Coturnix japonica: one gene and its partner. The protein of the gene in region 2 binds, or shares a complex with, the protein of the main gene of each other region. Links are inferred from orthologs where the notes say so. Each region holds a gene or a part of one and is shown on either strand. Other genes may lie near its edges.

Region 1 (3,808 bases), on a different chromosome or scaffold from region 2:
CTTACAAACCTATGTAGAGGCTGTATTGGAACTGCAGTTTGTTTATACACATAAAAAGAAGGAAAAAAGCTTTCTCATGTTGAAGGTCCCAGGGCTACAGATGCATGAAAAGGTGCCCAGTTAACAATAAAATAACAATAATAAAAAAGCATTATGATGGCAAGCCACCTGCACGCCTTACATGTGGACCAGAAAATTCTGGAAAGCAGAAAGGCTGATAATGTCACAGTAAGTGCTAATATAGTTCTCTACTTGCTGCTGGCTGGTCTGTGCTCTGTTTAGAAAACAGGTATATTAGGAAAGCACATCATGTTTTTATCTCTTGTAAATACTGCTGGACCTGCAAGAGAACAGCGAGAAGTACAAGTAACTGACACCACAGCTACAAATAGAGCTATACAGAAGCCTTCAATCTGAACATCTACATACCATCTTCATGTCTGGCCTCCGGTTTTTTTTCTCATTCAGGCACCGATCAGCAAGTGAATACATTTTATGAACTGAAGTTGCATCCCAGTCTCTCATCTTTACATCAACATAATCCTCAATAGTCGCCTCCTCATCCTCAATTTCATCCTTGATACTTAACTACAAGAGAGTTGGAACCAATGAGCAGAGAATACAGTAAGCATCTGAAGATCATAAATTCCACACGAATACTTTGACAACTTGCTTTTCAGTGCTCTTCATTCTTTGTCTAGAGAAGTGATTGAGAAAAATAACAGCAATGGTTGGGTAGCACAATTATTCATCAGTATCTACCAAAACAACTTACAAGACTATAGTGGGGATTAAAAACTTGTAAATATTTGAAGCTAGGGATGCCACATTATCTCATAATGCCCACTCTCTGTGCTCCCAAAAGGAGCCTATCAAATCAGACTTTATATTCCAGAAGATAAAGCTTAGAGAAGATAAAGCCTAGAGAAAGTGCCCTATTAATAGTATACAGGTAATCCTAAAGCTGCCTATGTGTGAGAGGGTGACCAGCTATCAAACAGTGCGGAACAAAACCAAACCAAAACCATAACCAAATGATATGATGAAAGAGGATCAGGGTATCTGGTAAAATAAGGGCATGCTGGTAAAGCTAAATAGCATTATAACAAGAAAGAGTATCAGAACAAAGAGAAATATAATACAGATTGGAAAGAGATGATGTGGGGACTGGACAGTCTCCTACCAGCTAAGAGTAAAATGCTTCACTTCTAAAATAAAGATTGATACAAAAGTGGTTCCCATAACTATTCATCAAGTGATGCAATTTGCTTGTCTCACCACCTGTTACCTGATGACTATTTTACATGAAATGATCCTAGAGGAAGAAAGCAGAAAAGTACCAGCAACTGTGGCTCCCGGTTTTCATCTACTGGTGGCAGACCTGTTATTATTTCTAGTAAGACCTAGAAGAAAAAATAAATAAATCAGAAGAATAGAATACATTAATCCTTAGCATACACAGTGTTTGAAAAGAGGAACATGATCCTCAGCCTTTCACACAAATGCTCACAGGATCAGTACCTGTCCCATTGCACAGCCCACTACACAACCCATAGTTCCTGTTGTTCCCAGCCTTATTCTCATCATCTGCTATTAGCTGTGATGTTCGGCACTTTTCCACACCCTACACTGCGTTGTCTCTAAGTTGGAAGATGGAAGAATTTCACAGATACTCAGGTACAGTGTTTGACCTACATCCCTATGAAACTAAATGGCACGAAGAAGGGAATAGATTCACTTTTCTCCCAAATAGCAGGCAGTTGTTTGGGTTTTTCTGATTAGATATGCACTGTACTCAGCTTTCAGTCAAATCCCACACTGACAACATCCATTTGGTGATGAAACTCACTTTGGATCATTGTCTTTCAGATTTTAAGTAAGTATCAACAGGTGCAAAATTTTAATCAAAATTTTAATCAACATATTCAAATGCTTTTAGACCACTCAAAGAGTAGAAACACTATCTTAAGAGCACATTCACTGGGAAAAGGAAAAATAACAGATGAAAATAGAATCATGGAATCACAAGGTTGGAAAGGACCTACAATATCATCTAGTCCAACCATCATCCCTTTACTATACCTACAGAAAACCACTAAACCATATCTCCTAGCTCCCCACCCAGATGCCTCTTGAACACTGCCAGGGATGGCGACTCCATCACCTCCCTGGGCAGCCATTCCAGTGCCTGACCACTCTCTGAGAGAAAATGTTCCTTCTTATGTCCAGACAAAACCTCATCTGATACAACTGGTGGCCATTTCCTCAAGTAGATTGCTTAATTTCGGGTATTCTTGATTTTTTACACTTCTTCCAATATGAAATCAACCAACACATAAACACAATCACATACAGCTTCCCTCATTCTACTTACTACCCCAAAGCTGAAGATATCAGACTTAGGCGTTATTTCTCCTCGCAGAGCTTCAGGTGCCATATAGGCTGCTGTTCCCACAACTCTGTCTGTCATGATGGTTCGTGTGAATGTTACTGATGCTCTTGCAAGTCCAAAGTCGGAAATTTTAGGCACATAGGTATCAGTTAATAAGATATTTGCACTGGTGAAGAGGGGAGAAAAATGAAAGGAGCTTTCCAAAACAGTAACTGGGTTTTAATATAGACTAACAATTCTTTAGTAACCAAATGCAAGCTGCTATTCTGAATGTTTCTAGAAATAACAGATAACCCCAGCAAAACACAAAAGAAAAACACAGCCAAATTGAGTAGTGGAGCACAGTAGAATTCTTAACTGCTAGACCTCTACTCAGAACTAATAAAAGCTGGCTTTAATGGTTTATACCTATTATCTAATACAATGTCAACTGTTACACACTGCAATGTCAAATGATTACCAATACTTGTATTCTCCTGAAAGAGAAACAATACTGCTTAATGCTGGAATTATCTATGTGCTGTGTTTCTCTTTATCTCCAGCTTTTTACTGGTCTTACAGAAAATCTGAACAGTGAAAATGCAAGAAGTTGCAAAATGGAATTGAAGCCAAAAAAAAAAAACAACAACAAAGCCAAATCCAACCCTGTGATAAAATCAACTCACAGCAGTTAGAAGAGTAGAGCAGCATAAGGTAAGAAAACGCATCCCTTCCAGGCACTACGCATGTCCTGATGCTTAAGCAGGAAAGAAAGAAGAAATATGAGTTGTCAAAGCAGCAAGTACCTTTTATGGGTGAGCTGAAGCAAAAACTACTTCCTCACAGAATGGAAGTTCACAAAGCCTGTACAGCCTAGACTTAACAGAGGTGTCAGAAGCCAGAAAGCCACTGAAACATTCCTCTATGACACCCAACCCACTGGTTGCTCCTTGTCAACCTACAGAAGAAGCAGGGTACCCATATCTAGGCATTTTCTTGAAACATTTTGACTACTTTGTCAGTGCAAACAAAAAGAACAACCAAAACATCTATTTTGCTATAACAAATAAGTGAACAGACATCAACCTTAAAGGTAATTAAGCTTCATGAACCTGATTTAACGTCTTCATATTAAACAGAAGGAAATCAAAGGAGGAACTCAGAAATGCTCCAGGGAAAAAAAAAACCAAAAAACGTTGGGTTTTCATCTGAAAAACTCCCAATTTAAAAAGTCACAACGTTCTGTTACGGCAGCTTCTTTGTGAGCAGCAATTGCGAAAGAACAGAACTCCTACACGCCTTTGCAGCGCTCAGATAACGATTTGAAAGTGACAGATTACAACAGACTCTTAATCATCTTTAGAAGCCTGTACTAGTCATGTCCCTGTGGCACAGACAAGATTATGGTGATGGATAGCACTTGCAGAAAGGATTGCG
Region 2 (4,497 bases):
TGCCACACGAGCTGTGCTGCCCGCGTCCCGACTCCTGCCGCTGCAGCTCTGCTCAGCGCCCCGCAGCAGCACTCGGTGTGACGTTCGGTTCTGTCCTGCCTGCCCCATTACTGCTCCTGGCGGCTCTCACAGCAACAGCGCCGCGAATCCGATGTGAGCTCAATCCCGCAGCATCCACCTGAATGCCACTGCAGAAACACAAACGCGTGTGCAGTTGCAACCACTGCAAAATCATCAGACAGCACGAGACTCAAAGAGTTAACACGGATTTACATTTTTATGAGGAACAAAAATCAGTTCATACACAAACATTTAAGAAAGAAAAAAGTCCACAAGAAGGGCAGACGTTGCCTACTTCAGAACCTCACACTGCAGAACAGCCTGCTGCTATCTGTTAGCAACCTGCTGCTCTGCAGCCTGGGGAGCAGTTCACATATCTGCTAAAACCAACATTGCTTTGAGTTATGCACAGAGACACACAGACACACATCTGTGTATTTGAGGTATGGGGGAACATGTAGGTGAAGAACCTTTCTTATTTCTAGGAAGCATATAAACAGGAGGCACATCTGTTTACAAGGGTGGATAGTGGCAGGACAAGGGGGAAAGCTTTTAAACTGAGACAGGAGAGGATCAGGTTGGATAATAGGAGGAAGTTTTTCACCCAGAGGGTGGTGGCGCACTGGAACAGGTTGCCCAAGGAGGCTGTGGATGCCCCATCCCTGCAGGCATTCAAGGCCAGGCTGGATGTGGCTCTGGGCAGCCTGGGCTGCTGGTTGGTGACCCTGCACACAGCAATCATGAATCGTGAATGGTCATTGAGGTCCTTTTTAACCCAGGCCATTCTATGATTANAACAGGTTGCCCAAGGAGGCTGTGGATGCCCCATCCCTGCAGGCATTCAAGGCCAGGCTGGATGTGGCTCTGGGCAGCCTGGTCTGCTGGTTGGTTGCACACAGCAGGGGGTTGGAACTGGGTGAGCACTGTGGGCCTTTGCAACCCAGGCCATTCTATGATTTCTCTCTGTGCAGCTGGCCTGCTGAAAAGCACAACTCTGCCTGGGGGAGCCAGGCCTGCAGCTGGGGCAGCTTCTGTGGCTCTGGGGGCACCAGCAGCCTGGGCAGACCAAGACCAACCATGCTCCCCAAGGCCAATCCCTGGGACAAGAAAATGAGGCTCAGAGCACCCACCTTCTGGGAACGCTCCCTTGGTAAACCAGTATGGGAGCTGAGGGTGTGGGCACAGAGGTACAGAGCAGAAAGGGGTCCCAAAACCAAGATGCAGTTCATATGGCTGAAAAGGTGCCCTCACCTAGAGATAAAGCAAGAATTCAGTAATGAAGGACAAATTAAGGCATTCAAGGCATGTTCTGTGTAAAAATTTGTCAGCCTGAGTTGCTGCAGTGAGGGTTTATGAACACATAGGCTAACACAGAAATGCTTAGTCGTCTTTCCGCCAGCACAGAAGTTTTGGGCCAAGCCCTCAGAAGGCAACTGTGGAAGCTCTCACGTGAGCACACCCCACACTTTGTAATTCAAACATAAATCCAGCATGTGAGAGAGCGAATTTCCACCAAAACCGAATTATTCAAGCAAACCTGGTGCTGCTTTGCCACCGATTTTAGAGTCTGGATTAAGTGAACCCTTGGTGTCATTTTCTAACACAGGGAGCTGAGCCACGTGCATTTCCTCCAGGCAGACAACCCCATTTGTGTGACCATGGAATGTTCTGAAATAGTCCAAAGCAAACTCCTCTGGGTCCTGTATGTGCCAGGCCATCAGGGTCACTGCTCAGTAGTGCATGAGAGCAGGAGCAGAGCCCTCACAGAGCAGCGCACTCCTGCACACTGTTTGTCTTTGGAAGCTGAGCTGCCAGCACAGCAGATGTTCTACAGTGTGACTGAGTGTGTTCCAGAACTTCAGTGCCGACATTAGCTCCCAGCACACGTCAACTGACGGCCCCTCCTAAACCCAGTGCTTTGCTATGTGTGTGGCTCAGAACACACATCCTTTCAGTCGAGGGTTTCCTCCTGCAGCATTTCGCTCCTCTCCATGGACAGCCGCTGCAGGTCCTTCTTGATGTCGGGGTGGTCCTCCAGCTCCTCGTACAGCGAGCGCACGATGTCCAGCTTCCGATAGTCCCCGGGGCGGACCAGGCTGCGCACCACCTGCAGGCAGCGCTCCTTCAGCGTGAACACTGCGGGGAGACAGAGCGGGCACGAGGGCAGCGGGCGGCTGGGAACCGGCACAACACAGACAGCCCGGCAGCGTTACGGAGCCTACGAGGGGCGCCCGGAAAGTAAAGCGTGCCATCTGTCTGCACGGGAGCTACACCGGACAGGCGGTCACGGTAACACCGGTGCGTAGAGCGGATTCTCAGCTACAAAGCGTTATTATCGGACGCGGCCGCCAGCATCAGCTGCGCGTTGTGTCCGGCGGTGAACGCGCCCCGCCCGCCCCGCAGCGCCCCGCACCTGGCAGCGTGATGTCGGCGTTGCTGACGTCAGGAGCGGCCACGAACAGCTCCTGCCGGTTGACGAGCAGCCCGTCGTGCGAGCCCGCGTCACGGAACAGCCACAGGTGTCCTGCGGGGAGCGGCGCTCACAGCGTGGACACTCACGGCAGCACCGCGCGGCACCGCGCCCCCTCACCGCCCCCTGCCCGCTCCACGTCCGCTCCGTAACCGCCCCCTGCCCGCTCCCCGCCGCTCACCGCGGTAGCTGTGCATGACCCGCCCGGTGCGCGGCCGCAGCACGGGGTAGTACCGCGGCCGGCCCTCGAAGTCCACCCAGATGGGCAGCACGGCTCGCGGGCTGCGGTTGTTGAACACGACCTCGGACAGCTCGCGCGTGTTGGCGGAGCGCAGGCCCGGCGCGGCGCGGCCCGGCGGCGACATCACTGCGCGAGGCCGGGCGCCGCCCAACCGCGCATGCGCAGAAGACGGCAGGGCGACACGCATGCGCAACGAGCCACGGCGGCGCTGACGTAACGCGGGGGCACGGTGACGTCACGGGATGCGCTCGGAGCAGCGGCTGCCCAGAACACGAACACCGAGACCAAGTGCCTTTATGGAGCTAATAAACTTTAATAGGCCTAAATCCAGCTCTGAGAGCGGTACCACGAGCTTGAATACACTTCAATGGAATGACAAGCTGGTAATTAGTGTTTCAGCCTCTGATGAGCAGAGTAATTAGCCTGAGAAACCGCAGGATGTTCAGAGAAGGAAACAGACATTCATTGAACAAGAATTGAACAAGACATTCATTGAACATGAATTCCTGTCATTAGGGCAGCATCCCTACAGCAGCTCCTACAAAACCCCTCATCGCTGCCCCTCAGTGCCAGCATCACAACTCCCAGGTAACACCGCTCCCAGGCAGAAACCACAACTGCTCTGCCTCACCCACAGCGGGACCTGCAAACAGCCCGAGGCACCAACAGCACTGAGCTGGTAACAGGTAAGAAACAAACAGCAGCACCTGCGCACTGCTAGCATTTCCTCACTGGAGCATCAAACATCTTAATTCACATCTGGGAAACAGTATCAACTTTAAACTTTCAGTTTGGAAAAGTTCTACAGCAAAGAGGTACTACCTCCAAACCCTTTGAGATGACTAACTGGAATACTAAGACTGGCATTTTAAGATAGGATTTCTACAGTTCAGGGGAAAAATAAGCTGCCAATTGGCTCCAAAAACGCCTCAACATGTTTTCTACTATAAGCAGAGGGAACAAACATTTAACTGAGAAATACAACAGATGTGGTAGAAAAGACTCAGGCAAAGGAGAGCATTGCTGACACCACTACTGACTTTCAGTTAAGGTGGCAGAGTGAAAAGCAATAACTTAAGTCAGGTTCAGAGCACACAGTAGAACGGGGAGTTCTCAGGTTGGTCCCTGGTTCAGTGCTCAATTTACACAATTCTTATTTATTGCCTTTCGCTCAGGAACTGAGACAAACACTCTCAGCAACCTCCTTTACCAAGCTGCTCATCTGGAAATGATGCAGGTCTCTGCTGTCTTCCTCCACAAGGGCTGTCACCAGAAGGACTTATTTTCTTCCACTCTTTCCCAGGTGCGTTTCAGAAGATACACTGCAGCATGAAGTCCCCCTACATTCACCCACACTGTGTGACTTTTGCGCCAGATGTGTCCCAGTCTCGACAAGGCCTATGACAGAAAAATAGCACACAAAAAAGCTGCAAGAGTGGTGGCAGCTTCTTCAGGATAAGAATATAAGGATAAATTTGCTTTAGATGTTATTCCTGGCTATAGCAAATCACACCTGAATAAGGTCTAAAACCACATGAAAATGCTGCTATTCATCTCTTTAGAAACAGATCACCTGCCATAGTGAAGTCAGCTTAAAGTTTTTCTCCACAATAGATTTTCCTGTGCAAATGGGTTTAATTCTAAGGTTTGACCCAGAACGTACCTTGATGAAGCATTTCTTGTCCTGAGTCAGCAGCACAGCTCTACCTGTGCCTGGTGTGCAGAT

What was found.
Region 1: the proteins of interleukin-1 receptor-associated kinase-like 2 (region 2) and IRAK4 are in contact, whole or in part, in a crystal structure (PDB 3MOP), measured with the Homo sapiens proteins. The link is inferred for Coturnix japonica from reciprocal best matches to the Homo sapiens genes IRAK2 and IRAK4. Residues at the interface, in NP_001561.3 of Homo sapiens: Tyr6, Ile36, Lys44, Met48, Glu59, Trp62, Trp63, Trp64, Gly65, Met66, Arg67, Gln68, Ala69, Gln73; in NP_001107654.1 of Homo sapiens: Asp24, Phe25, Pro28, Gln29, Lys34, Glu92, Phe93, Phe94, Ala95, Pro96, Ser98, Val105.

What each region holds. Positions count from the first base shown.
Region 1 is NC_029516.1:27,252,722-27,256,529, reverse strand, and holds part of IRAK4 (interleukin-1 receptor-associated kinase 4), read right to left. Parts: intron 2,559-3,808; coding exon 2,375-2,558; intron 1,404-2,374; coding exon 1,341-1,403; intron 589-1,340; coding exon 430-588; intron 341-429; coding exon 308-340; 3' UTR 1-307.
Region 2 is NC_029527.1:16,756,167-16,760,663, reverse strand, and holds the start of interleukin-1 receptor-associated kinase-like 2, read right to left. Parts: upstream 2,990-4,497; 5' UTR 2,959-2,989; coding exon 2,712-2,958; intron 2,585-2,711; coding exon of another isoform or gene 2,474-2,584; intron 2,197-2,473; coding exon of another isoform or gene 2,012-2,196; exon of another isoform or gene 1,349-2,011; intron 1-1,348. Other genes in the region: THUMPD3 (THUMP domain-containing protein 3), read right to left, coding at 4,038-4,169, 4,435-4,497. UniProt on the Homo sapiens protein: Binds to the IL-1 type I receptor following IL-1 engagement, triggering intracellular signaling cascades leading to transcriptional up-regulation and mRNA stabilization.